Lepisosteus oculatus: one gene and its partners. The protein of the gene in region 4 interacts with the protein of the main gene of each other region in a biochemical or structural test. Links are inferred from orthologs where the notes say so. Each region holds a gene or a part of one and is shown on either strand. Other genes may lie near its edges.

Evidence for each region.
Region 1: the proteins of esr1 (region 4) and ncoa6 form a complex in vitro, tested with the Homo sapiens proteins (4 studies listed by BioGRID). The link is inferred for Lepisosteus oculatus from reciprocal best matches to the Homo sapiens genes ESR1 and NCOA6.
Region 2: the proteins of esr1 (region 4) and forkhead box protein O1-A form a complex in vitro, tested with the Homo sapiens proteins (2 studies listed by BioGRID). The link is inferred for Lepisosteus oculatus from reciprocal best matches to the Homo sapiens genes ESR1 and FOXO1.
Region 3: the proteins of esr1 (region 4) and nuclear receptor subfamily 0 group B member 2 form a complex in vitro, tested with the Homo sapiens proteins (2 studies listed by BioGRID). The link is inferred for Lepisosteus oculatus from reciprocal best matches to the Homo sapiens genes ESR1 and NR0B2.

Annotation. Positions count from the first base shown.
Region 1 is NC_090711.1:6,898,411-6,906,140, reverse strand, and holds the start of ncoa6 (nuclear receptor coactivator 6), read right to left. Parts: upstream 3,019-7,730; 5' UTR 2,917-3,018; intron 743-2,916; 5' UTR 702-742; coding exon 470-701; intron 119-469; coding exon 1-118. Other genes in the region: glutathione hydrolase 7, read right to left, coding at 7,034-7,197. UniProt on the Homo sapiens protein: Nuclear receptor coactivator that directly binds nuclear receptors and stimulates the transcriptional activities in a hormone-dependent fashion. Coactivates expression in an agonist- and AF2-dependent manner.
Region 2 is NC_090700.1:16,813,357-16,820,364, forward strand, and holds the start of forkhead box protein O1-A, read left to right. Parts: upstream 1-3,988; 5' UTR 3,989-4,318; coding exon 4,319-4,885; intron 4,886-7,008. UniProt on the Homo sapiens protein: Transcription factor that is the main target of insulin signaling and regulates metabolic homeostasis in response to oxidative stress.
Region 3 is NC_090706.1:7,320,343-7,327,459, reverse strand, and holds nuclear receptor subfamily 0 group B member 2, read right to left. Parts: upstream 3,007-7,117; 5' UTR 2,517-3,006; coding exon 1,958-2,516; intron 1,046-1,957; coding exon 804-1,045; 3' UTR 333-803; downstream 1-332. UniProt on the Homo sapiens protein: Transcriptional regulator that acts as a negative regulator of receptor-dependent signaling pathways. Specifically inhibits transactivation of the nuclear receptor with which it interacts.
Region 4 is NC_090697.1:48,520,527-48,527,729, reverse strand, and holds the start of esr1 (estrogen receptor), read right to left. Parts: upstream 3,024-7,203; 5' UTR 2,751-3,023; coding exon 2,296-2,750; intron 1-2,295.

The DNA of each region.
Region 1 (7,730 bases), on a different chromosome or scaffold from region 4:
TGCTGCTGGTTGTTCTGCGCGATCAGCCGCAGGCGGTCGGCGGCGTCCCGGGGGATGTTGAACGTCACGCGCACGCTGTTCCAGGGCTCCAGCCGCTGGGGCAGCAGCCGCTCCGAGTCTGCCCGGGCACAGGAGGGAAAGACGGGTGAGAGGAAACCACGAAGAAGCCCCGCCAACGCCCAGCCGCGGCCGGTGTGAGTGACAGAATTCGCAGTTAAGGCACTGAAAAGTAGGAGTTTGCACTGATGTTTTGTTTTATGTAAATGTCCATACCTGATGCTGGATTCTACTACTCTAGTCACACTATTACAACTTTCCACTGTTACCTCTGTACTTGGTTCTGTATAAAAGCATAGACAGATTGTGATCCAATATCGTTTTCCCAGTGAGATCAAATCTTTGCTTTTATCCATAATGTGGTGGGTACAGTGTATTTTAATTCTCACAATGCTATCGCGTTGTTGCTCACCTAGTTCCAGCATGCCTGGCATACTTTCTAAGAAGTTGTGCAGGTTCTCCTGGAAGTCTTCATCACCCATGTTGCCCTTAAAGGCGATGAAGATGTTGGAGTTGTTGTCCTGGCAGCGGGGCCGGGGTGAGAGGTCATGGTCATCCTCCACCCCAGAGTCCAGCCCCGTGTCTGGTTCGCCCACAGGTGCTGTCCACGCTGAGGGTGGCTCTCGGCCCTGCCAGTCTGCCATTGCCCCTCCTGTAGAGCAGCGAGGCTTGATCAAAACCAACCCTGCAGAACCGAGAGGCATTGTGGGAAGGGCTTGAGCTCAGGTTCACACAAGTAACAGCCAATCAGGTGCAGCACAAAAAAAGGTCAAAACAGACTACCTGACAACCTCACAGTGCGGCTCACAGGAGCTGTACAATGGGCCCAGTACTGTTAAGATCTCAATTACATTTATCAGCTATGGGAAAAAAAAACATTTCAGGAACAAAAAACTATTTTTAATGTTCTCATAAACATTCTAAATTGAATGAACAATTATTGCTCCTAAAGGGATGTCTTGCACATCACAAAGCTCATACACAAATACGACCACAATATAATGCAGCAACAATAACAAAGTTGTTTGGTGTTTGGACCACATTCAACGTCCAGTACCATAAGGGTTAAAAAACAAAAAATGTTCTTACAAAAATCCAAAAACAAAACTAATGTGATCCCTACCTACAAACATTTTAATATAGAAGAGTTGAACGCTTTTAGGTATAAAGGAAAGAAGTGATCTCTTAGTCTTTATACAGAAGATGCAATACCTTCTCCCTGAGGATAGGAAGGTATATTCTAAAAAGAGTGGAGGTGAGGGGTCATCTCAGATTTTATGTGCAAAATTAATAATATATCACTCCATTACTGAGTCCAGGATTGTGGAAGTAGTCTTGCCACCAGTCCTGATCACTTTGTTCAATTTATTTTTGAATATAGGACAAGGCACCTCCCCAGCTCTGAATACAAAAGGTTAGGCCTCTCTGTATAAAACATCTTATTACAAGGGTCAACACTGTGCTTTCTACGCTGCTATATCGGCCTTCATGAGCGGTTGGAAACATGACAGACATGCACCATCACAGCTTCCAAAGAAGCACCATCACTGAAGAAGAATGCACAATGTTTCTTCAACTTTTCAGATTATAGAGAAGTTCAATGCAATTTTCCTTCAAAAGAGGCAATCCAACTGAAGCTCAGCTCTTTGACAGAAGAGACTGGGCTGGACCACACAATTTGTGACATTAACTATAAAAATAAGAGCATAAAATGATCGTACCCCATGGTCATTCAGCCTACCTAAGCGAAAGAGTATTCAGAAACCTGAGTTTCATAATAAACCCCTTTCTTTTCAGCATTTTTACATGCAGAAAATAAATACCAGATACCAGCACCACACACGAATTCACACAATCTCGACCTCCAAGAATAAACTGAACAGATAACGCAAAAGCATGACAGACAGCAACTGACAAAACCGACCTTTACGTCTAGGAAAAATGAATAAACCCTGCATGGATTTAATAATTTAATAATAGAGTCAACAGAAGGAGTAATTATTCCTCCTCAAAAACAGTTTATCTTTGGCAGTAATATGACCAACAAGGAATGCAGAAAATGCATGTATATTCGTATTTAAACCACTATAACGAATCCGAGCAGCTTATAAGATAATTCAGTAACATTTAGCAGTCTGTGCACTGTAGTTATGTACAAGATACAAGAGCGGCATTATTGTACATCTTAAAAAGATCATATACAGGAACCATTTCTCACGAAAATACATTTCTTTAAAAATCTCAATATAAATTTGAGTTCAAGTAAAAAGAAACAAAAGCTGTGATCGTGACAGGAAAAATATAAGTTAGGGTTTTGACACCTTAAAATAATGGTTTGTAAGAATGATAGCACCCATATCAAAATGCTGCATATTTTGCATTTGCCGAGTAATTTATTTCCATCATTTCAAACATCACACACACTGTTGGCTACCAGTCTGGAGGAGATGCATGCGATGGTTACGGTGGAGATGTTATCCCAACGATGCGCGTCAGCAGTCAGAAGAAAACCCTTTTTGGTGACATTTTGGTTTCAACCTGCAGGTTTCCGAGACGCGAAGGCGTCCCCCCTGCTCGCTTCAGACCGAAAACCGTACGACAGACGCGAACTCGAACCCGAAAGGAGCGGATTTCGTTTTCCGCCCGAGATTTGCGATGTATGAACGCAACCATCACAGGCCCTCCGAGTTTGGTTTTCCGCCACCATGGATGTGCAGGCTATACACCGGCTCCGCAGCCGGAGATCTGAATCTCTGCCATAGTCGGTAAAAACGCCCTCGCTTTATTGCAGTTACACCTTTTAATCTTTTTTCTTTAAGCCAAGCAGAACAAGCACATAGGCTGGGTTTTAATCCTTACCTGATCACTCCATTGGAATCAACTCCTGTTCGGTAACAAAAAAAAAACGGAGCAGGCAGCCGTGACAACAACACGAAGCGAGGGGGGGGGGGTGGGCAGACACTAGACAGCCTTTTCTCGTTTTCGCCCTATTCACAAATCAATCTCCTCCTGCTTCCTGGCATGAGGCGTGTAGTGTTAGGCTGCGCAACTGGCGTAAACGAATCGTTCAGGGCGTCGTGCAGATTTGTCTTTTCGCTTGCCGTAGTTTCCGCCGATGGCGGTGATCTCTGAGCTAAGGAGAACAGGGGGAGAAGTTAGCTCCGCAACAAGGGACGAAGCTATTGGTTGTGAGCTGCTCTGAAACTCAGTAAACCGAAATTCTCTTTGACAAAAATCGAACCAATAATTGATTTTAGTAGTGAAGGATTTATTATTATAGCAGAACAGGGGGGTACGACTTAGTTCTGCATTTTTTTTTTATTCGCTGCTACACTGTATAATTTATTACCTAATAAAAACACGTCCGACGTTACCTTGTAAATTCACACTTCCGTGATGTTTTGTCGCTTCGCCTGTGTGTGTGTGTTGGCGTTGAGCAGCAAGAACAACATTTTGTTAAATTAATGTCTTGCGCACGCAAACGACTTTATTTCTTTTTGCACTTTGCTGTTAATGCTAATAATTGTCGTTCTTATCACTCGCAGCACACGAAAGAATCACAGACCGAACAGAAAATAGAAATGTTCCGTCCTCCAGCAGTATCAGCGCACTTCTCTTACCGTGGCCTGATACAGTAAAACTAGTTTAAAGAAATGCATGATTTCCTGACACTCTTTACATTGTCCTTATTGCTGTAATGGGTTATAATAATGGCATAGTCGGATTTATAACGCCTTATTTTGCCCACATGTATACAACCACTTAAACCAAGTTATACAACCGGTTTTCGGCAAATACGTAAATCATGATAAAGTAATGGAAATAAAAAAAACTAGCCACAGCATATGCCCTGATATAGAATTGTTTTAAACCCATCACCTGTGCATTCCAACATCGACATCAACCAAAGCGCATATAAATGCATATACTATATGATATAGTGCGTATAAATCATAACTACGTACAAAACCACAATGACCTTGCCTCACAGTTTTTGTGTTTCATTCTAAAACTAAAGCTTGGGTACCTTATCTGTGGAGTTAGCTTGGTCTCGCATCACACCCATGGGTTTTTGTGAATTATCTATTTCTCTCCCAACATCCAAGACACACTGGCTAGTTTAAGAGGGTACCTAAATTGTCCATGACCCACTTGAGCCACTGTGTGTCTGTACCTTGCAATAAACTAGTGTCCTGTCCAGTTTATAGACCTGCCAGTTTGTAGATAGCCTTCCGTTTCTGTTAATGGATTGTTGATGTGATTTTGTAACACAATACAGTATTTCTAGATAGTATTACTGTGCTTTTCCTGCTTAAGTGTTTTGTTAATTTCAGTAAAATATGTAATTACTCTTCACACTGCTAGTTTGTAATTAGAGTATAGATTGCTCAAAAGTAAGAACATATGCTTGTGAAGAAGGCAAACTTAAGGTAGGTAAAAAAAACTACATACTACAAAACACACAGTCTTGACATGTTTTATTAGAAAATCTGTTAGACCTTGTACATGAGATGAATGAACATTGACTGCTGGCAACATCATAATCTTTTAAGCATTATTTTATGGCAAAAAGGCATTTTTAAGTGTCAGCTTTATTAAAAAAATAAAGCGTCATCCAGTTTTGTGAACTGAAGGTTAGTAGCCTTCCACTACAAGAGTACTGTTATAAAATACAGTACATTGACACCTAGTTCATTCAGTCGTCCCTTTTCTTCCATTAAACTTGGCTTCTTTCTGATTGCTAAATACACATGACTAATGTGCAGAAGAACAGGCTGGGCAAACAACAGCACTAACATTTTGATATAACAAAAGATGTTCTGTTTTGTAATGCAAATGCAACATTACAGAATGAACAAAATGAGGAACGGGATTGATCCAAAATGGGATGTAATCTTTTTTGGATCAGTATTAGGGCTACAGATAACAACAGCAGCCAGAGCAGAGCAACAGCTGCTCAGAGCAGGAGTAGCGTATGAGAGGGTACCAGCAGAGAACCATCGATTTAATTGATCCAGAGATTTCTGAATAAACTCTGTTCAGCTAATTGACATGATGAACCTTGTTAACACAAATTCAAATATGACCTCTTTTTCAGATCTGTGAAAAGCTGTGTGTATAAGCAGAGCATTCAGAAAGTTGTCCTAGACATCTAATTTCTCACAATTGTCCTGTGATTTCTGCCTAAAAAGGGAATTTGTACTGTAATGGTCCCTGTTGGGTATGATTGAAACATTGTGTCCTAACGGTATGACTAAGCATGGCATGTCCTTCAAATGTACAAACTGTTAATCTTATTGTTAATCTAACTTGTAGCCCAAAAGGTTTCTCTTTCTTCCTTCAATTTAACAAAATTAAATTGTGTCTGTGTTTCATATAGTCGCAACCATCGCTGAACTGGGCCAGTAATCTCAGTGGAGTACTGTACGTTTGAAAAACAAGAGATCTAAATAAAGTGTAATCTCCAGGAACTACCCTTATCCCCCAACAATAACTGTATATACCACAATTATATTAAATCTAAGATAATAATTCTCAGAGTGATAATATCAGATTCTGACAACATACATTAAAACGAATACAGGGGTGATCACTACAAAACACATTACTTGTGATATCACTAGTTCATGTCCCACTGCATTTATTGACTAGAACTCTACTGTGCCAATTAAGCAGAGGGTATAATGCAAAGTAAATCCAAATTCCTAGGTTAATGTAAGTCTGTCATGGCTCCTAGTTGAACCATGTACAGTACAGTTTTAGTGTGTCAAAGATTAAGATATTAAAGTATGCTGTGTTACAGTGAAAACAGTACAGTAATGCAAGCTCCTTTATGGCACTTTGACTTGGTTACCTGGCTGGGATGGAGAATTAAATTGCCAACTGCATAAATAGTTTCTTAATATTTCTAAATTATTGATAATTTCTGCGGTAGACTTAGGGCTTGACCTTAACTGATCTCCAGATCTTAGTGGCAATTATTAACATAATCAGGGAGTCCTGTTGCATAGCTGACTTCAAGTAAAAATTACTAGTTACTAGTTTGAAGAAGAAAAACCGATTTCCTATTTTAATTGTGTATACATAAAAAACTAACCATGTAACATTACAGACATTTCTAATGTTCAGTGTAAAGTTAGGGTTTTTCCATTCATTATACAAATGTTATGAAACCATAGCCTGTCAAATGTTTGCATCTCTTTCCATGAAAGTCTGCTTTTATACCTATTGTTTCAGTCTGCAAACTTTTAGCAAAAATGAAACTTCATTCTCAGGTACTAAAATGACATCCTAAGCATACTGTACCATCACTTCAAATATTGCATTTACAGTGTACATTCAAAGCATCCTTCTGGACATTTCTACCGGCAGTCAGCTACGATACCTTACATTCTGTTCTACTGATAATTTGCCAAAATCATCCCGTAAGTGGCACAAAATGAAGCAGTACATTACATTACAACAGTAGCGGGACGGATGTTTTAAGCATGTCATGATTCAGTCATGTGAATTTCCATCTCCAACAGGTCCGGCCCCGATCAAAAAACCTCTTGGACAGATTTTAAAAATTGACCTTCTGAATTCTGAAAAGCAAAAAATGCACTTTAGATAAAGCTTCGCACTATCATTACGGACACCTGATGGGCGCACGGCGGATGACAGGAAATTCTCAGCAGCACATGACGCCCCTCTTTTGATACAGGGCAGGGTGGAAGGAAAGGGGGTTCGTGTCAGTTCTTGGGGTTGGCCTGCATTGATGGTCAGTGGTATTTACAGTGTAGCAAGTGAATGCTTCTGACTAGACAAGACTGCAACGGTGAAACTGCTGTGCAACATGCCCTGTGAATCTGGCAAGAATCTACAATAAATATCGAATCGTGCACCTGTCTGCAGGATTAGGCGAAACAGCTGGCCCCTCCCTAAACTTGCTGACACTTCATGCTCCCCCCCGCCTGTGACCGGACCCCCTCTCCCCTTAGGGGGTGGTAATGGCAGAAGCATCGAGATTTCGGGGATCCTTCACGGCGATCATGAGGTCATTCGTCCTCCTGGTGCCTTCGACCACTGACAGGACGTCTACCCTCTTGACATTGTGTCCCTTAATCTGCAGCAACTCCACGTCTTCTTCGGGGAAATCACCTTGGAGACAAACCCACAAAGGGAGTGTATGAGATATACACACAGAAAGGCATTTAAATATTTTATGATGTGCTCAGGCATTGCAGCCCATACTGCCCTGACGTTTTCCTACAAGCAAGTAATTGTACTGCAGCGTTAACCCAAACTTTAAAAGCGTTATAAGCATCCATTACTTCAGCATCAGAAAGTTGCTCACTTCAAGTAAGGGTGGCATCAACCCCAATCCTATGCCAGAAATGTAGGGCTCAAGATGGGACTACACACAACATGGGTGCCATTCAATTATAAGGCACTGACACACACCAGGAGAAATGATTAATTTAGAGACAACAATTAACAGAAAAACTGTGCCCACCGAGGGTGGAAAGACGTCAGACAAATGGCTGCAGAAAACTCCCACAATCACAGGGAGAACACACAAAACCCACATAGAAGGCGTCCCAGCCCAGAACTGAACCCAGGGCCTAAGAGCTCTGTGGCAAAAAGTTTTTCAAAATTCCAATTAAAAACACACTCTTATCTTTTCCGAGCAA
Region 2 (7,008 bases), on a different chromosome or scaffold from region 4:
ATAAATACTTTGACATTTTCAAAATTAATTTATCTTGAAACTTTCTTTGTTTGGTCTTGGAAAGAACTACCCGATGTTAATTTCAATTTCATTTCTGTTCTATTATTATCAGGCAGGAAGTGTTTTTTTTACTCCTTTTGAGGGTGTGTTTTTTAAGTGTTTAACAGTGGTTCTCAGCTTTGGTCCTCAAGAGCCACCAATCAATGGGTTTTCATGTGTCTATCAATCTGGAGGTGAAATGTGCTCTTTCTGAAAAAACCTTAACCATCTCATAAGGCATGACCTTGTCACCTCTAGTCTAGGCCTAGTGGAGGAGCAACCTGACAAAAATCTGATAGAAGTTGTACTTGGAAACATATCTGTGTCTTTCCTTGAATACAGAGATCTGATTAGGCACCACTGATAGGTGATAAAAAAGGTATTACTCTGGTTTAGGAAGCAAAATAATGTAATTGTCTCAGTGGAGCTGGTATATGGTTTTATTGGCAAACACTATTAAGGAATGTAGTCCTTCGGATGAGATATAAAACCGAGGGCCTGACTCTCTATGGTCATTAAAAGTTCCAGGGCGTTTCTCGAAAAGAGTAGGGGTGTAAACCCAGCATCCTGGCCAAATTTTCCTTTGGCTTTTACCAATCATGGCCTCCTAATAATCCCCATCTATTAACTGGCTTCATTACTCGGTTCTCCTCCCCACTAATAGCTCATGTGTGGTGAGTGTTCTGGCGCACTATGGCTGCCGTCACATAATCCAGGTGGATGCTGCACATTGGTGGTGGTGGAGGGGAGTCCCCATTACCTGTAAAGCGGGTTGAGTGGAGTGTCCAGAAAAGCGATTTATAAGTGTAAGCAAAGACTGACTTAATTATAATTACAGTCCTCCTCCTCTTTGCAACTAGACCTGATCACAACAAAGCCCAAAGACTTCCAGCCATTGGAATCACTTTTCCATCAGGTATTCAAGGTTGTGGGGGGGCCACAGCCTAACCCAGCAAGCAATGGGTGCAAGACGGGGCCAATTTTCTCAGAAGCTAATTAACGTACTATTACACTATTATAGTGAGAGCATACAAACTCCATGCCGGTAGCATGCCAAGAATGGAACCCAGGGCCTCAGTGCTGTCTGGCAACAATCTTAACAACTGTGCCACCATGCCCCTCTGCTAAGCAAATACCCTTTACTAATATAACATTTGTGATACCTTAATTGTAAATTACTGGTATAATTGAACTGTTCTTAATTGTCATTTTAATGACAGTCAGGTAGCTAGCTTGCTTTTCAATGATTCTTTCAAAACAGCAATTCACTCAAATGCTTCAGACACTGCTGTCACAAGGCCCTGAAAAACCAAAATCTTTTTGGCTGCCAGGAGCCACCATGGTTTACCACACCCAAACAAAGCAGTCCACCTTTTTTGAACTTTAATTTGCTGTTAACTCTTAATAACTGTCTCTTTCAGCCTGCACTGGGAAGCTGCACGCCATTTTAATTTTCATAGTTTACGGCTGGCTTTACACACATTTTTAGCATATTGAAAACAACCACGTTTAGCTCGCAAACATCGTGCAAGTTGTAAACTACAATAGGCTACAGTGGTCTACCACACCCGGACACACCCGGCCATAGATGTCCAGAAATTACGTTGCAACCTAATAACTATCTCTTTCCATCAGAGTAGACTGTCTATGAAGACTCTTTACTTCCAGCCACTAATAGCTTTTTTCCCCACAAAGAAAAATTAGTGACGAATCCTATGACTGCTTTGTCTGCAACACTCCTTATATTTCCAGTGTGACATAAGATGCCGTTTTATTCTGTTTAGGCAACTTGCTGCGTACGCACAACTCGAGCGCTCAACATCTTATTATCTGAGGGGCAGATACTAAATGCGTTACATTCCCGGTCATGGACATAATAATGCCTTTACTACCCGACAAGCAGGTGAACGTTGCCAAACTCCAGACAGAGAAAACGTATCAATTTAAAGATGTGAACGTTATTTTAATCCTGCTTTCGGGACGCTCTACACTTTAGAGCTGTGAAGCCTGAACTTTCCATGCGTCCTGAAATACCGCTGTTCAAGTCAGATGGTAACTTGTCAGTAGTGAAGATCAAACATACTCGTGCTCCAACGTTAGGTGGCAGAGGTGGCTCTATACGAAGATTTTTTTGCCTTAATCCCTTATTTGTTTTCCTTTTCTCTCCATTTGAACAATTTGGTCTCTAAATCGTGGTCGCCAGCTAAATGGCCGAGAACAGGTGCATTCCTACTGTAGTTTATTTTGCGGTATATGACAGTGTCATGTGGGAGACAATTGAATCTCTGCTTCTGTCTTGTCAAAGCGGGGGTTAGCTACTGTAACTTCCAGATAAATTTAACGGTTTAGGCACAGCAAGGTTTCCTTAAAAATAAACAGGCTACTATTAAACCATGGATTAGCAAATGCTACGCACACATTGGGACTCCGGGGACATATTGGGTGCAGATGTGGCTTGCACACAACGCTGGGATTTACAATACCAACAACGGTAATGATAATAGTGATTTATTTTTTGAAAAATGGAACACCTAAATTGGTATTAAGCTATATATAGTAACAATATAATATAGTAGCATAATTCAGTAACAAAAAAATGGAACGTCACCTAGAAAATGTATCAGTAACGCAATCCGCACCGTATGTTGGACATAGTTCTACTCCATTGGGATGATATTTAATTTTTCAGTGCTTCAAAACACGTTCAACACAACTATTGTCCCTACAGCACACAACGGTGTCAGAACTTCAGAGTCCTTACTGTACAGAATCCACTGTTTAAATAGGATTTTGTTCTGTCCTGCAATTCATTGACGAAAGATGCATTTAAAGTCAGATTTAGTTTTGCTGTAAAGTCAGGAACGTTCTCTCTAAAATGATGCACCGCTACCACAATTCATTAAGGCTTTCTTCTGGGATCTTAGATCACAGAATAGCGCACATTGCTAAAACACGGTTGCCTGCGTCCTCTAAAACTGTTATGACCAATTATCAAGCTGATCAATTGTATTAGTTAAGAAAAAGCATTAATTTCTCCGAATGATAGCCAGGCCGACTAAAATGTACGGGAGATAACCTTTGTGATATGTAATGTTTCTACCGTGGCTCCTGATGGCATGCACCTCTAAATGGTAATGAATCAAAGCACCAATGCAGCGAGTTTCAATAGTTTTAAATAACCATCTGCTTAAATGCAAGAACTAATCTCCATATCTAACAAAGTTTTCTAGAACTACTTTGTCTGTACTATTAAATATTTGATTAAAAAATCAAATATTTAATAGTACAATTTGGCGTTTAGCAACAAAACCCCGTTGTGCGTTATTATAGAACAGATTGCACTGGACAATCTGAAGGGTAGAATAATTTATTATTCTGAGAAAAATAAACTGATGCACAGAATTCTATCAAATGCGCAATTCTAAATCACTTGAGGATATATTTTTATCTCTGCAATAAATGCTAACAACTAGTAAAATGTTTTTTTGTTGTTGTTGTTTATTGCATGCGGGGTATAATGTGACCTTAAAAAAGCTGAAGGAAAAATTTAAGAAAGGAAGTTGAGTGACGGAATAGATCAACAATAAACAAGTTCGTTAATTAAACAGACATAAACAATAAAATGACAGCTGTCAAAACCCCCCACCCCCCGAGTTCTAAAATCTTAACTCATAACTTTCTGATGATTTTGCAAAGCGCTGGAAATAGGAGGCCGCGCAGAATAACAAGCGATACCAGCGAAACCGACCCCGCAATTTTCCGTGTTTTACGGCTACATGTCATTAACCAAAACAAAGTTATTGGAAAAAAGGAGGAAATATTTGGCCGTAAAAAGAAAAAAAAAGTGAGCGTTTCGCTTGTTGATGCTCACTGGGCATTGGCTGCCGCCCGGTGTCACTCAGGAGGTGGGCGGCATCAGCTGACTCCCTGGGTAGTTCCAGTAAGTCCGCTGCGCCAGTCTAGCAGAGCAACATTCAACAAGCAACAACTGGGGGTGACAGACATGGTACGAATACGATCTTCTTAAGCCTGGATTTTAAAACAGCCGAAACAAAACTTGTCAAGACCAACGACAGAAAAGGGAGCCTTCATCAGACCTTTAAAAGCTCTTTTCCAGCGTTGTCTCATCTCTATGACTCGCTTCGGCTCCGTTTTGTGACTTTTATATGTAGAAGTTTGTGAAGTGACGAAGTTTTTTTTTGCCTCTTTTTTTTCTCATCCTGCTTGTGTGCCTTAGCGTAGGTCTATGTGAGAGTGGGATAATACTTTTCCTGGTATTATGGCTGAAGCTCCGCAGCAACAAGTGGTGGAGTTTGATCCGGATTTCGAGCCATTGTCACGGCCCCGGTCGTGCACCTGGCCGCTGCCCCGACCCGAGTTTATTAATCCTACCAACTCTAACAATTCGTCGCCGGCGCCTTCTGTCAAACAAGAGCCCGGCGGCAATGTGGACTTCATCAACAACCTGAGCTTGCTGGAGGAGACTGAAGACTACCCCGAGCAGAAGCCGCTCGTTTTGTGTAATGATTTTCAGTGCCAGGAGAATTGCATCCACCAGCAGCCCCAGCAACAACATCAGCACCCGGGCCAGCAGCTCTCGCACCAACAGGTGCCCCCCTTGTCTTCGCCGGCTGGCTCAGCCTCCTCGGTAGCCGCTGCTCAGAGGAAGAGCAGTTCCTCCAGACGAAATGCATGGGGAAATATGTCTTACGCCGACCTGATCACCAAGGCCATCGAGAGCTCCCCCGAGAAGAGGCTCACCTTGTCGCAGATCTACGACTGGATGGTAAAGAGCGTTCCCTATTTCAAGGACAAGGGCGACAGCAACAGCTCCGCCGGTTGGAAGGTAAGAAGAGCAGGCAGAGAGTGCACTGTAAGCCTCTGTGCACCTTCCGAAAGACTGCTTATAACTAGAGAACACAAAGTATTTTCCTACGATGGTCAGCATTATTAGCATTGCTATTGATATTGTTATTAAACTGCTCACAGAGTCTACTTCCTCTGGTACTTTATACTGTTGCAACTGCAAAGATAACATCCAGATATTATTACACAACACATGTATGAAGAGATGCACCAGCACAACACCGATGAAAAGTCTTCTGCGTGAGGTAATTAGGCTACACAGATTTGTCTGCTTTCATTGTTTACAAACATGCTCACACGCAGCGTGGGCCAGGGAAAACTGGCAATTTAACTCGATGACTTGTGGTTTTCCCCAGGTCGATAGCGTTGTTGTGTTTTTTTTATTTTTGCAAGTACAGTAGGATTACGTCCTCTAAATCCAACTTGAGTGTGAAATTCCAAAAGGATAATCTTGAAAGAAAGTTCACGCTAACCCAGAGTCATGTGTGGATGGGTAATGTAAAACTCGTGAATAGCGCCAATCAGATTGCTTAGTGAGTTAATGAGAGTTAAGTGCGGGTGTGAGGGGGTGTTGTTTCTCGAAGAAAATGCGTGTAGCAGGAGCAACGAAAGCACGACCTGTGCCACAGTTAGTGAAAACGTTGGGGGCACGACCATTATGTGCTCATACTATGAAAACACACTCCGAGCGTTAGTTTGCAAATTCGGTGTTTTTTTTCTTTGAACTTTTATGCAATACACTTACCCTGTTTTCTCCTGTTTTTTTTGTATTAACAATTACAATCGAGGGCAGAAATAATCGCCGTGTTATTTTTAAAATAAATTAAGAAAATAAATTTTAAGCGGTTCTGTTGTTGGGTTGGGGGTATTCGTGATATACTCATGATTACAATACCTTGAGGACTAGCCAACTAGCAGCAACTGGAAATTCAGACTGAAGAGCTAACACATTTTTCCTCTTCGGACGCAGGAGCAATCCATACTGCTGCTTTTCTAATATTCTGCATGCGAAGTAGCACTTAAAATGATTGTAATTATCTACCGACTCTAAACTAAAGTATTAAAAAGTCAATTACTTTTTATGACTTTATAATGGGTTTACCGCATAATGATAGGGTATTAGACAGTTGTTCATATCGGAAAATAGAACTGTCTGCCTCTCTAACTTGAAATCGATTAGGAAGATAATGGGCATGTTAAAAAGAACCAAATTACTTGCTTCTGTCTGATCATGCCTGTAGACAATTGAAATCACAGCGTTTTGAAGATCTTATTTGCGGTTATTTTACTGTGTAGCTAGATCTTGTAAGGGATTCGTGCTGTGCAGCAGTGCAGTATTCCTGGTAAGGTTCCTGCTCGTCTTTTAGAGCTTTTCTGCTCTCGGAGAATGACTCGTAAAATCACCTTCACAGCAATCTTAGATGTTTACATATATTATTTAACAATAGCGTCACATACTTTAGAAAACACAAAGGGTTGTTATTGAAGTTTAATGGCGAGGCACAGCAGAAAACTAACATTATGAAAATTGAATATTCTTGTTTATCATAAACCTAATCTAACTTCTTCGTAACATTTTTTAAAAGTATTTGTTCATATTGATAGTTAAGAGTTACTGAAGCGGGAATTAGCAGTTTATAAGGGGAGACGGATGTCACAGTGAATAGGCAGAAACATTGAACAGCTCTCAGCTGCTGTCTGTGGTTTTATTGAGCGTTAGTGTAAGGGCTTTCTTTGCGCTCAAGTTTATTAAAAATGCTGTTCGGCCCTGCTCTGTTGAATGGGTGTTTCATATTGCTGTATGCACATACTCTCACATACATACAATTGTACTTCGGCTGGCCTCTATCGGTAGGTATTCGAAGCGGAACAACACTTTTGGCAAATATAAGACAACTCCAGGCAGTGCTTTCCGAGACAAAGGTTAAATGAGGTGAGAGGCTGTTTCTTTCAGGGAAAGATACATGAAATGAACGGCGCCTGACGATATTAGTGCGGTTTGTGACTAATCGTTCTAGGTGGCAAAAGCGTTTTAATGCCTGACTTTAACATAACGACTGCGATCATCTTACAAAATTGTGTTTAAGGTGATTAATGTAGGGT
Region 3 (7,117 bases), on a different chromosome or scaffold from region 4:
GATTTATTCGAAACGACCGTTCACGGCGGAAATTGAATTCCTCGACAGGTAGAGAGAGGTTGTTCAGATAAGTCATCGCATTTTTCTTTCGGGCTCATTCAAATTTCGCTTTAGTCCAGATTTTGTATGGTTCTCCAATCCGACTCTTTTGAATCGGCCGTGTTCACTTTTTTTTTTTTGCCGCTATAAAAAGACAAAGGGGTATCAACACATTTTTATTAAACACGTTTTTCATGACGTGTTACAGAAACTTTTTTTAAAAAATATATAATTTATTCACATACACTCATGCACACGGATTTTTTACGGACGTGTTAAAGGAGTTTTTTAAAAAAAAAAACATAAAATAGTGATTCGGATCAATAAAGTGACGTTTTTCTCCAAGAAGATTCTGTTAAGCCAACAAAACCAGGTTTGCCCTTTCAGCTGAAAGATCTATATCTAAATCATAACATCGAAAGCTTGGCACAGCGTATGAGAGATACGCCAAATTCACACACCGAAATGATCGAGTAGTGAGTCCCCTCTGTAATACAGCCAGGCTGTTCCTCTCAAACGATTTTCTGCGTATCGTCGCCGTTTGAAACTCGCAAGGCGAGAATGTCTCTTTGCTCACTTCGCATGATTTTAGCGGACCTTTTTGCCCAAGTTTTAGACCATAACATGACAGTTTTAATAGCAGGACATGACGTGCGTGTTCCCAGGTAGAGTGCACCAAGCTCTCTGTAACACTGTCCCCTCAAATCAGCGGCTCCGCGACGGGTGTTGTTGAGTTTAAGCAACCTGAGCTCCTGTATCCTCGTTTATCTGGCGAAAAGCATTTCGGCGAGTAGTTCTAAGAGGTCCGCCTGGCCGATGACAGGTCTGAAAAAGAGCTCGGTGATGAGGCTCGGCGTGATGGTCTTGAGCGCGGAGGCGGTGAGGAGGATGCGGGCGAAGCGGCCGCGGTCTCCCGGGTGGAGAGGGAGCAGCACCTCGCGAAGAGCTCTCTGGGCCTCCTGCTGCATGCTCTCGATGAACAGAGACGCTTTCAAGCCCGGGACATCTGAAAAAAATAACCGAATTGAAGGCGTTTTTAAACGTCTACACGCAGTCAGCCTTAATTCGAATTATGGGGTTGCAAAACTGTGCTGGTTAGATACCACCGAGAACGCACTAATCTCTCTCCCGAAGCGGGGGAAAACCAATCAACTCTATTAAGTGTTTCTCCTAACTACTACACGTATGAAACAGAAGGGTTTACATGTGTAGTTTATCCTTTTGCGACCAAGTAATGGCAAATGATGCCAACACCCGTTACGGACGTGTGCTGTAATACCCACAGTGTCAGCAGTTTGAAAATGTGGTACAAACCCCTTCATAACAGACTTTCCCCGCTGGGGGCTGCCTGACGAATTGTGTTCAGGAAACGGTGGCCTTTTTGACAGCTTGGAAACAACGACTTCAAACGCGTTGGTCCGATTCTTGCGAAGTAATTCTGTGCCACTTTACCATACTCATTTTTTATTTCCTATTTTAACTTTCCCCCCTTCAAGAGAAATTAGCTAATTCTGCACTTTATCCCAGTGGACAAGTAATGAATGTGGCTTGTAGACCTAATTAGGTAGAATTTCCTTTTTGGGGGGGGGGAAATGGGACTCTTTTGGGCAGAAGATTTATAGTAGTAAACGAAGGATGAAACTTTGGGCCAATGTCCATCAATGTGTAATTTTCGAAACAGCCTTTTCTTAAGCCATGTCAACAAGCTATTTTGTCCGTTAAAAGACATTAATAAGCAGGACATTCATCCACTCATACATTCCAATTAAAATACTTAGTGTGGATTCCTTACTAACTAATCCATCTACCAACAATTATGTGAGAAAACTATTCGGGAATTGACACTTATTACTTTATTTAACCCGTTGGTACAAGAAGATCAATAAGCACGGTGATAATAATTCGCTAGTATACTTACCGGGGTTAAAAAGAATCGCTCCTTTCAAATAGGCGTATTCTTTTGGACTCATATCCAGGCTCCAGAACTTATTGACGCAAGACTTCAGCTTCTGTACGGCGTCCAGCGTGGGCTGCGCCCTGTCCGAGTGCTCCAGCCGGGTTTGGTCCTGGTCCTGGTCCTTGAGCAGGATTCTCTTCAGCAAACTGGCGGCCGGCGTGTCCGTCACGTCGAAGGCCACCCCTTCCTGCGCCAGCCCCAGGATGAACAGCGGCGCCCAGCCGCTCTGCAGCAGAGCCAGCTGGTCCTTGAGTGGGAGCTGGTAGAAGGAAGGCAGGTTCTTCATGAAGTGGATCGTTTTGACCAGCACGCCGGAAGCTACCTGGCACGTCTCGTCCGGGTTCTTGAGGCCAACAGTCCGCCGCATCTCGCAGTGGCAGCTGTGCGGAGACGTGATGTAGCTGTGGGCGAGGTGGTCGCTGTCCTTGCGGCTCAGAATATTGTAAAGGATGGCGTTGGACTGCCGAACACTGAAGCCGGAACACTGGCATCTGTCGCTGGGCTCTTCGAGGCAAGACATCGTTTACTTAATCTTTTCAACTAAACGAGGCTTAAAAGAATTTGGTACGGTGAACGCGCAGGTAGCCTGTAAATCGCCCTTGCGCGCTGTACCACTTGGCCGCGCAGCTACTTAAATGCTTTGGATCAGAAAAGCTCTGTCCGCCGTGCGTACGCCTGTCTCCAGCTCTGCTGTCCCAGACCTATTTATAGAGGCTTCCCCCTAAGGTACAGCAAGCCAGCCTTGACCCTAGCTGAATAACATTTGCTCACTGAAAAACAACATGACCCTGGACTGCTTGGCTCAGGTAGGTTCGCTCCACGTGGAGAAGATAAGGTTTTCTCAATGAAGATCGGCGGGTTGATGGTACAAGGCGACGTTGGGGTGGTTGGGAGTAGGTCACTTATCTTATTTACTTCAGCCATTAACCCAGCCTGTACCAAGCTACCAAGGACTGTGGGAGTAATCAAGCAGACAGTATATGGCCACTATCGCTGCCAGCTAACACCTAATGAGCTGGAAGCCAGCCAGTACAAACAGTTAAGATATTATGCATGTAAAGAGCTGTCTGATGCGTCCTTGAGTAGTATATCGCCTCTCGCAGATGCGAAATTATTCATTTCAAACCCTTTTCGGCAACCTTAAAAGGTGCTGAATACGAACTTAAAACTGGAACTGTTTTCCTCCGAGTATAAAATACGGAGCGATAGAGATTTTGGTTTCAAGAATAGGAGACGTCACATCCATTGACTTCAACCCAAGGGGATAGGTAGACGTTTTGAAGAGCTACAATGCATAAGTGATACTGTTGAAAATGCAAGATATTCGTGATGTACAGAAAAATCAATAGGAAAAAGAATCACCCTGAAATGGATAGATGGATTACTTCTGAAAGCTTAACAACATGTAAGAAATTTATAAGGATTTATAATTGTATAATAGAACACCAAACGACGTGTTTTGTAGGAAAAACAGGAAATTCTGAAGTGAAAATTCTAAATATAGTTTGTTATGAGAATAATTATATTAGGTTAATAATAATGCTATACTATATAATATTCGGTACTGACAACTCCCCCGTTTTAATCTGATAAAATACATTATTTTTATTCATCTTGTTAAATTTAAAATAAGCTTGTACCTCCATCCCTGTTCAATGCAAGTCATTCTGTGAACAGCATATATCAACACATTCAGTACAATATATGTGTGAAATAAACTGTTCAGAACCTTGGTATAGGCAGTCCAGTATACAAACCACAAAGGGCATTGATTACTAATAGACTTGTATTTTGCAGATATTATATCTGGGTCAGGAATAGACACTGAACTGAAGGTCATTTGTATTTTTCAACTGCTTAACTAATCAGCAGAAATTAAGGTTGCGTCATCATTTCCCTTGACTGAGTCTGAGACCTCACATTTTCTTTTTTGACACTCATAAATGGTGAATTATTCTGTTTCAACTAGTCCAAGCAATTTGTTTTTCTAAAAACTCGTACCTTTATACACTAAGGAGTTTTAAGGAGTGTTGTATTAATAATCACACTTGACTGGTGTGATGTACTAACCAGCGGAGCGTCTTTTTCAAAATGAAAGAGAAGTACAGCACAATTCTTACATAGCAGTTGAATTTTAGATTTTCCTTGGTGTGAAACGTCTTGGTGAATGGGTTTCACTTGAAAGAACCACTGTTAGATTTTTGTTCAGAGAAACGGGCTTATTGTAAGATGTACTGTAAGGTTACTAGATTACAGCCAGATTACTTGTTTCTAATTGAAGAACTAAGACAGCACGTTCAGATGATTTTTCTTGTCTGAAAAACATGGCACATTGGCCTGCTTACTATTTTCTCTTAGTGTGGGATCTTTCTTTCTTTTTGTATATTCTTTTTCTTTTGTATTTTAAAAATGAAAACTCCATTAAAAAAACTGCATCAAGGTTGAGTGTGAAGCAGTTATTGAAGTAGTTCAGGTGGGCAGCTGCGTCACCATGCGTAGGCTGCAAAGGAACAAGTGATAGGTTTATTCCACGCTGAAAAGAGAAGAAAGAAAACACAACGTTGCAACTGTGGAGCCTCACTTGGGTGTGACACTCGAAGAAGGCTCCACAGCCGAAACGTTGTGTTTTCTTTCTTCTCTTTTCAGCATAGTTATTAATGCAATTACATTATGCACATTTTGGGCATAAAATCATTGCTGTCTTCGGAACGTTTTAGGAGGTTCAGTTGGTGAAGAGTGAGACCAACAGAAATAAAGAATTATTCTCTTGTCCCCTCCCTTGGTTTTCCAACAATGCTGCACCTGTGGATTAACGCACAACTCCTGGCGCCAATTCTCCTGCTGGGCACTCCTGACTGAATGCCATTCATAATCAGATTACCATTTCCTGATGGTATAGTCAATAAAAGTGAGCTAATGCAAACAGCCATCATCCCAGAAGGAAGGCTCTGAATCAGAGACAAAGCAGTAAAGTATCCCTTTTTTAATCTCAGTCGTGCCTAGCACAGAGCTCTTCTCCTGATAAGGCAATTGATTTATTGGGGAGGAACAAAACTCAGGAATTGCAGCAACATAGTGGCCTTTCACCAGTGTTCCATTCCATCTGGGAAAATGCAGATATGTTGTTCTGAAAACCAAAACATTTAAAAAAGGATATTTAAATTCACTTGCTAACATTCGTGTACATTGATTTTACTGTAATTACTTTGTTCTCTGTATCCTGATGTTGTCCAACTACAGCACATTAAATACAGCACATTTTTTAATACAGCATATTAAAAAAAACACAAGAACTCATTACCACGGTCATTGTTTCTTAGAGTCACTTTTTACTTTTGGGGAACAAAAATACATTTATTTTTCTGACATTGGTCACACGCAATGATATTATTTTTAGGAGCATTAACTAACTCTCCAATACTACAGCTATTAATATGTACAGTATATCTGGTGAAGATTTCATTCCAACCTTAACCAGCATATCTTTCTTTTACCAAGACAGAATAAACTAACATGTCATCAAGAAAAAACACCTGTACATTTACAGTAGAATATGAAGTGGGCAACTACAGAATGCATCACAGTAGCTTACCATTAGGTCCATTGTTTTTTGTTGCATACGTCTCTGATATCTTGAAGATTAATGGATTGAATATCAATATGTGACAAAATCAGCTACTGCATAGGGAAGTAGTCATCTTGGATGGAGACGAGAGGCTCTTGTCATAAAATTGTTTTCTATATTTTATTAAATATGAAGTTATTTGGTAGTTCTATTAACTCAATGTGAGTATATTATTGCTGATGTAGTGACTCTATTTATGCCTTTACCTAGAATAATAATTTTAAGCTAATGTGGCTATGTTATCAGGTACATTAAGAAGTTTTAGGAGGCACATATCACAAATGTCCATTGGTGGAAAGCAGGCAATTGAACAGAATGCTTTCTAACTTTAAGCCTGCCTGATTTGTGCTAAATATAGCATGGACTTTGACCAGTGCTTCATACAAAACAGGTGGGAGAAATCAATGAAGCCAACCTCAGTGCAGAAAGCACACAGACCTGTTTACCAAGTGACATCCAGGTTATCACAGGACTCTGCACACTGACTGGATTAACTGTGCAACATACCGTCGGAATAAACAGGTCTGTCTCACTGTCAGCTGACTGGTAAGTAGTGCCAGGACAATGCACTGAAAACATCAGCACTGCAAACTTCACAGGACAAGCCTCCTTTCATCTAGATCATCGAATCGCTAAATTACAGTCCCACAACAAGCTATACTCTATATATTATGCCTCTCCCATGAATATTTTTTAGGACAGAGAGTAATCAGAGATATGTTTTACAGTATGTAATATGTAATCAGTATTACAAGACATTAAAAGACATATTTCAGTAAAACTTGCATAACCATTAGAAAATGTAGTTAACAACAACAATTATTTCCTGGGCTTCTACAGAGTATTCACATCCATAATTGACGAGGTGTGTCAACATATTTGACCAACCTCAATTCCTCATATTTAAGCTGCTTCACCTTTCTTTATCACTTCCAGGCACGTTTCTTAGTACTGGAAACAGCATTTTCAAGCAGAAACAACATACTGAAACCACTTCTTCCAGTTGAGGATCACAGGGGGGAGCAGGAGTCTATCCCAGCAATCAAAGAGCTCAAGGCAGGATACACCCTGGACAGGATGCAGTCCATCACAAGATAGACACACAGACACACTCACACCAGGGCCAGTTTTCCTACAGTTAACCTACCAGTACGTTTTTTGGACTGTGAGAGGAAACTCATAAGAACATCAGGAGAACACATAATAAACTCCACACAGAAAGAACTCCAGGCCCAGAATTGAATTCAGGGCTCCAACACTGCAAGAGAGCAATGCTAGTCTCTGTGCCACCCATGACTTAGTAACTTGTATGTAATATTCAGGTAGTAGTATGGAGTAGCAGTGCTCTGGACTGTAAACCAGAGTGTTATGGGTACTGCTTCCAGGTTGGATGTTGCTGTTGTAACTTTGAGCAAGGTACTTCACTCAGCACACTGCAATAAATGCCCTCTAAAATGGGTCATCATTATAAATGGTCATTTGTTCTCAAATGTGAT
Region 4 (7,203 bases):
ATCACAAAACACAAAAAAGCTAAATCTTATAGGTCGGGCAGCGTTTTAATATAAAAGGCTGATATCTGTACCACAAGTATGGAAGAATTGAACAATTTTGTTCAATTGTGTTGTGACCAAGGCCACTGTGCCTTTAAACCAGGCAAGCAGGTCCTTTTTTTCCTTTCAGGCAAACTGTGTGCGAATATTTCTTTCCATGTTAAATTAATTAGAGTGGCTATTTGTCCACAGTTTGCCTTCTGGGAAAAAAAGGACATATCACTCTGCAAGCCAGCAGCCATATCACTCTGCAACTCACAACTGGCAACCCACTGAAGCTAAGCAGGTGTGAGCCTGGTCAGTACCTGGATGGGAGACCTCCTGGGAAGAGGTGTTAGTGGGGCCAGCAGGGGGCGCTCGCCCTGCGGTCCATGTGGGTCCTAATGCCCCAGTATAGTGACGGGGATACTATACTGTAAACAGCCGCCGTCCTTCGGATGAGATACAAAACCAAGGTCCTGATTCTCTGTGGTCATTAAAAAAATCCCAGGGCATTTCTCGAAAAGAGTAGGGGTGTAAACCCAGCGTCCTGGCCAAATTCCCATTGGCCCTTACCAATCATGGCCTCCTAATAATCCCCATCTCTGAATTGGCTTCATTACTCTGTTCTCCTCCCCACTGATAGCTGATGTGGGGTGAGTGTTCTGGCGCACTAGGGCTGCCGTCGCATCATCCAGGTGGATGATCCAACATCTTTTGTTAAATGCACAGTGGTGGTGGAGGGGAGTCCCCATTACCTGTAAAGCTCTTTGAGTGGAGTGTCCAGAAAAGCGCTATATAAGTGTAAGCAATTATTATTATTATTAATAAAACTAGGCCTTAGAATCTGAAGAGACCCTAACCCTAACCCTAACCGAAAGGCAGATCTCTTCAGATTCTAGACCACTTTCTTGTTTCATAATACTGTACAAATTGGAACTGAAATTCAGTACACGTCTAATAATGCTAAAGCATCCAACATCTTTTGTTGAATGTCTGATTATATAAACTATTGAAGCAGCTGTGAAGTATTCAAGTGATGCACACCACATGCTACCTTAAGTGGCATTGCTGAAAGTAAAATGAGCTGTGTTGTTTTTTGCAAACTATAGCTTTTATGTAGTTAGAAGTTCATGCAATTAGCAATCTTATAGATTACATTGTTTTTCGCCATATTTATTAGGAAAAAATGAAACCTTTACAGTAATGCTTAATGTGAAAGTGCTATTTATTTTAAAGCAAAAAACTCAGATAAAGAACATGCCTTGGGTTCCCTTACAGTCCTGTTACCAGAGTGATTTAATACCACAAATAATTATTGAGTCTTAGTGAGAAATTAGTGAACTATTTTAATATTTTCCTTTTTAGGTCACTAATACCAAATAAAATAAAGGTATCCATAAAAAGAGTACACTAAAACACTACTGCATCTAAACGTGATTGTGAGTGAGGTTCAGTGTTCTGATAATATCCAGGGAAAATTAGAGCACATGAGCAAAACTTATTCTTGATTTATCTTCCTGGCTGTATAATTGCACTGCACTAATCCTTGAACTTTAGAATGATGTAATCATACAAATTCCCTGGATTATATGAAACAATCCACAAGAAAGAGACAGACATCAGTGTGAAGCTTAAAAAAACAATTTGTCAAAGGAGCCAGTATTTCAAAATCTGTTTCATTATATGAGTGGGAAACTCCTTCACAGTGACCACAGCAAATCTCATCTGGGACTATTCGGCTAAAATAATAAATCTTCAAAAACTTATATTAGAAGGCAACAACAAATACAAAACGAACTCATGGTCATGTTTTTCTTCCCTTTATGAACTGAGACTGCTGCAGACACTGATAATTTGAATTCTTGGCTTTTAACTAGATGTTTGTTTTTTATCTCTTAGTTCTCTTGCCTGTTTCAAAACTACTTCTGTAATTTTTTGGCGCTCTTAACAAAATCCTCTCGAATCTCAGTGAAGAACTGGAGTATTACTCCTGTTGTAACCCGTCATGTTCCTACATGACAAATACTGACACTAGTTCCCAGACACCCTTGAGTCCCTTTCTGATTTTATTGACCCTTACAGCCAGAGAACAAATTACAGGAGTCGGCTCGAACGTGAAACACGACTCGACTGAACTAATCGTACTTTTCTTTAAAGTTGTCTGGAGCGCCCATTGAGGGTGGATCTGGTTGTTTGAAAGCATGAGCAGTTTGAGAATACAGAACAGGGGCAGCTGCGATCTGGAAGCTGAAAAACAAACCGAAGGCAGCTTACCTGAAAAGAGGGGTGGTGGCAGCTTCCCTCAGCCTGTAGCTGCCCTGGTCACTCTCCAGGTAGTAGGGCAATTGCTGGCTGTGGTGGTGGGGGTGATGGACAAAAGGGGAAAGCCGAGGGTTGGAAGGCACAAACACCAGGGGGCTCGTGGGCACGCTGCCCAGGGAATGCAGATTGGCATCGGAGGCAGAGCCATGAGTGTCCACAGGTGCCGAGTGGTAGCTCACGGTGGTGGGGTTGTAGATGGGGGTGGCAGCGGGGGCCGTGGTGAACTCATAGGTGCCATCCAGGTAGTTGACAGCTGTGCTGTTCCTGTTGTCCTCCAGGTACATCTCGCCCAAGGCTCTCTCTGGGGCCAGCTTGACAGGTGAGCTGCTGAATGCTTCCAGCTCTCTCGTTTCGATCTTGTGCAGCAGAACTAATCCGGGGGGCTTGGTGTAAGGCGGCCTAGCCATGATCAGAGCAAACAGATAATTAGCATGGTTTGTTTTCTTTTTTTCTTTTCCTCCCAGCTCCCACCTAGCACTTTCAGAAGAACGTGATCCTCCTCACTCTTTACAAGACGAAAGCAGAGTGCACAGCCGGAGCCTGCCAGAGATCATTTTTGTTTTCTTATATGTGTGCGTCTGAGAGAGAGAGTGAGCGTGTGTCTGTGTGAGTGTGAGCGCTCTCGTTGCTATGAAAAGATTTTCCTCCCCCTACACCCCAACCCCTCCGACACATTCACAAACCTTTTTATAGTTTTTAACTGGTAGGTGGAGTGAGCGAGGAAACCTGGAGTGAGATATTTCACAAAAAGAAGAAGAAAATAAATCAATTGTAACTTTTTACTCCATGTCAGCATAGATTCATATCAATGACACTGGCATAAGGCCAGTCAAGGCTGAATTACACTGGCATTGGTTTAAATGATCACTTCAGGCACACGTAATTTAGTGAGGTAAGTATTACATGAATATTTTACTAAATCATACAACAAGGACAATATGTGGAGCATAAATGGCCTGGATTCAACCTGGGATTCAAGGTGATTATGTTCCTTCTGGAGGCCACAAGTGAGTCTAGGAATCACTGTTTACGTTCAACACGAACTCCTGGAAGTCAAAACTCACTCCTCAGCTTAACCTGGTGCTGAGGAGTGAGTTTGCCACGCACTAATGACGCCATGGTAACAGCTTTTCACATCTGTGGTGGTCCAAGTGGTTACTGCTTCTGATTTTACAAATATTTTTAAAAGATTACAAATACAATTTACTGGGCAGAATATTAATCTACAAATCTGAAATTCACTTTGCAATTGTAAGACATCAATGGTCGCCACAGGAATAACAGTAAAGCAACAAAACATAAAAATTGTTGTAAAGTACAGAATATACTCTGAAATCCATGTGTTATTCAGGTTCATGAGTCTCAGAGGAAGGTACCTTCGTTAACAGGTGAATGAGGATTTGGTTCAGCACAACTAATGAGGTATTTTTTATCAGCACCAAGGGGTGCTCTCTTGAGCAAATACTAAATTATCTTTTTTCAGTTTGCTGTTAAAAGGAATTCCCACTTAATACTTTTAAATATTACCAGGACACTCCCAGGTAACTTTAATTTTGGTTCTCTAATTTTAGTAAACCATGACATCACTACTGTGGTCTTGAATGTGGCAGGTAAGACTTTCTTGTGTGCAAGCTCTTCTGCACTTTTTATCTCTCTTTTTGCATTTGTTGTTAATTGTTTCATCCTTGTTGAGATTCGGTTTTAGAAAATACATTTAAAAATGTGGTAATTCTATGAAATATACTGAGTATCAAAAATAACATCACTCAATTGCACATATTTGTAAATACAATTTAAAAATGTTAGATATTGATTTAGAGCAAGTGAGAAGTTACAAATGAATGGGTGCAATTTGACTCATTTGGTAGTTAGTAATTAATTAATGCAAGGATCTCATCCAGATATTTCTTGAAAGAAGTCTGGGGATGGACATCAGCAACATAGCTCGGTAGCTTGTTCCATACTCCCACAACCCTTAAGTATTTTTGGTATTTTTAACTAATTTATCAGTCATAACCAACTGCTATATTTTTGAACGACTTTGACTGTTACATAAACACCTAATTAAGCAATTAATCACCTCATTAGTGAGAGATGGGTAGGGAGATGAGATGATTTAACCTTGACTGTCAAGAAAAAGCAAGAAAGATAAACACAGAAACACAGAAATCAACTAATGTGGCTTGCTTTTTAAGAGAACATATTTTAATTATTTCTTGCACGTATACCAAAAAAAGAAAGTCATAAACATTTTAAAGAGGCTAGAATGGGTAAGAAGCCAATAAAATCCACAAGGAAGATATCAGAGAGGTTACAGAACCAAAAGGGAAAAACAAAACAAAGGATAAGTCAATTAAATATTTGAACATACAGTCAATGTAAGCAGTGTTGGAAAAAATACATGAGACAGATGCGACCAAATGAACAGGTAATTATGATGTAATTGGAACTGCAGATATGTGGCTTGCCAAAAATGATGGAGATAAAAGTGAACTTAGTGATTACATACAGCAGGAAAAACATGAGAGGCGTGTTGTACATGCGATTTGTATGACCTCATTTTACCTTTTGTAAAAAGTGTAGTTTCCGTATGTGTTTTTTTATTTCTTACTTTTTTTTTAGTTTGCTGTAAATGGAAAAGTTTTACCATAAGAAATGTTAAACAAATTGTAACGGGTGGAAGATTAAACAGACCCAGAGGAGTGTTTGGGTATTTAGATTCCCTGGTAGTTGCCTATGTGTGCTGTTTGGAAATGGCAAGAATTTGTTCAAACAGTGGATTCAAGTTCAGGAACTAAACCAAGAGGAATCTAGGGTCTCTAAATCTATGTGTCAGGCACATAAAAACATTCTAACAGGGTAGTGTTAAGACTATGCTATTGACCAGATGGTATATATATATAAAATTAATATATATAAATATATATATAAAAAATCCAGATGGTAAATATAATTCAACATTGTGTAATGAAATTAAGAATTTATTTGTAAATCAAGAACATTTTAATGGGAGACTTCAACTTTTCCCATGTAAATTGGAAAAATCTATATATGAGAAACTGAAATAATAGACTTAGTTAATGACTGCTTGATTACTCAGTTTGTAGGAGCACCGACGAGAGAAAACATTCATATTGATCTTGTGTTATCAAACAGAATGAGGTGAACAGAGGTGAGGAAACCATACCTAATGGCATTAGGAAATGAAAGGAAATTAACATTTGACATTTACTCTGAAATACAGAGTTTACAATTTCAGGAAAGAATGAGACACATCTTAGTATGTACTGTAAGAACAGGATGGGTATGGAATGGATAGTAACAGTTTGAACAGATTCCACCTGAAGCACAGAATAAATATACTGTAAGAGTATATTTCATCATAAACCAAGACACAAATGATTAAAAAACAAGATAATCTCTTTAAAAAAGGAATAAAATGAATTGAAAGCCCAGATATAAAAGGATATAAGAGCTGATGAGAGAGATGGAAAGAAACATTTTCAGTAAAAGGTTCTTTCAGTACTACACCAGCACAAAAACCAAAGGATTAAGTAAAATGTATCTGAGAAAATAATGGAACTTCTAGGCAATCAAAAGGAAATTATGTACTAAACGAGGAAGAAGTCAACATTCCTCGGGCAGCAGAAAGACAAAGTTCTTCATTAAGAAGAGTTAATATCAAAAATGCTCTAACCACTCAAGATTAATAACTCCAGCGGTACTCAAGGAAACAAGAGATGTTATCCCTATGCCATTATAAGCTTCTTCCAAAAGTCCTTTCAGAGAAAGTTAGTGATGTTAGACTGGAGAATTGGTAATGTAGTGCCCATTCAATAAAAAGAGTGTCAAAACTGAACCAACTAATTATAGACTAGTATGTCTGACTACTATTAAATGTAAGGTTATAGAAACAATTACTAGAACTAAACGAGAGGATAACTTCTATGAGAACAAGGTCTTAAAGGATAATCAAGATGGATTTAGAAAAGGCAGGTCTTGCTTAGCTTACATGTTAGAGTTCTTTAAACAAGAAAAAACAATAACTGATACACACTAACACACAGATTATACAAAACATTTTGTTAGAGTTTCAAAAGCTTTTGATTAACTTCTTTACAAAAGATAATTTTCAAAATACAAGTGGTAGGCATTGAGGAAAATGTGTGTGGTTGAACTGAGAATTTGTTAATAGAAAACAGAGACAAGGGACAAATGCTCAAACTGGGGTAATATAATCAGTGGAGTACCACAGGATCTGTACTACGAAAGCTATTCTCCCTTATTTATATCACTGGTGTAGATTCTCCTATAGTTATCAAACTAGTGAAGTTTGTATATAACTAAATATAGTAGTATTAAAAAATAGATAAATCAAAAGACTGGCAAACATTTCTGGCTGATGAGGTTGTTTATGATGATGAACTGTAAATAAAAAAATAACATATGAAGAATACTTAGGTGTTTATGTTGACAAATGACATGCTCAAGACAATTCGAGGAAGAAATAAAAAAGGAAAAATAGAATTTTAGGATAGTTAATTGCATCTAATCAAGGGATGTTATCTTAAAATCGCATAATACACTAGAAGTGAGAAAAGAGCAACTAAATTCATTCTTGGGCTTTAAAGTCTTGAACAGAGAGGACTATGGGAAGACCTGATACCAGTATTCAAAATCCTGAAATGTATTGGCAAATTCATCCCAGAAGAGTTCTTCATAAAAACAGAGAAATGTAAACCAGAGGACTCAAATGGAAAATGGAAACTGTGTGAGATTACTCTTATGATTGAAAAGAGGTAGCATTTTCTTACCCAAAGGGTTGTGGGTTTAGGGAACAAGCTACCCAGCCATGTGGTT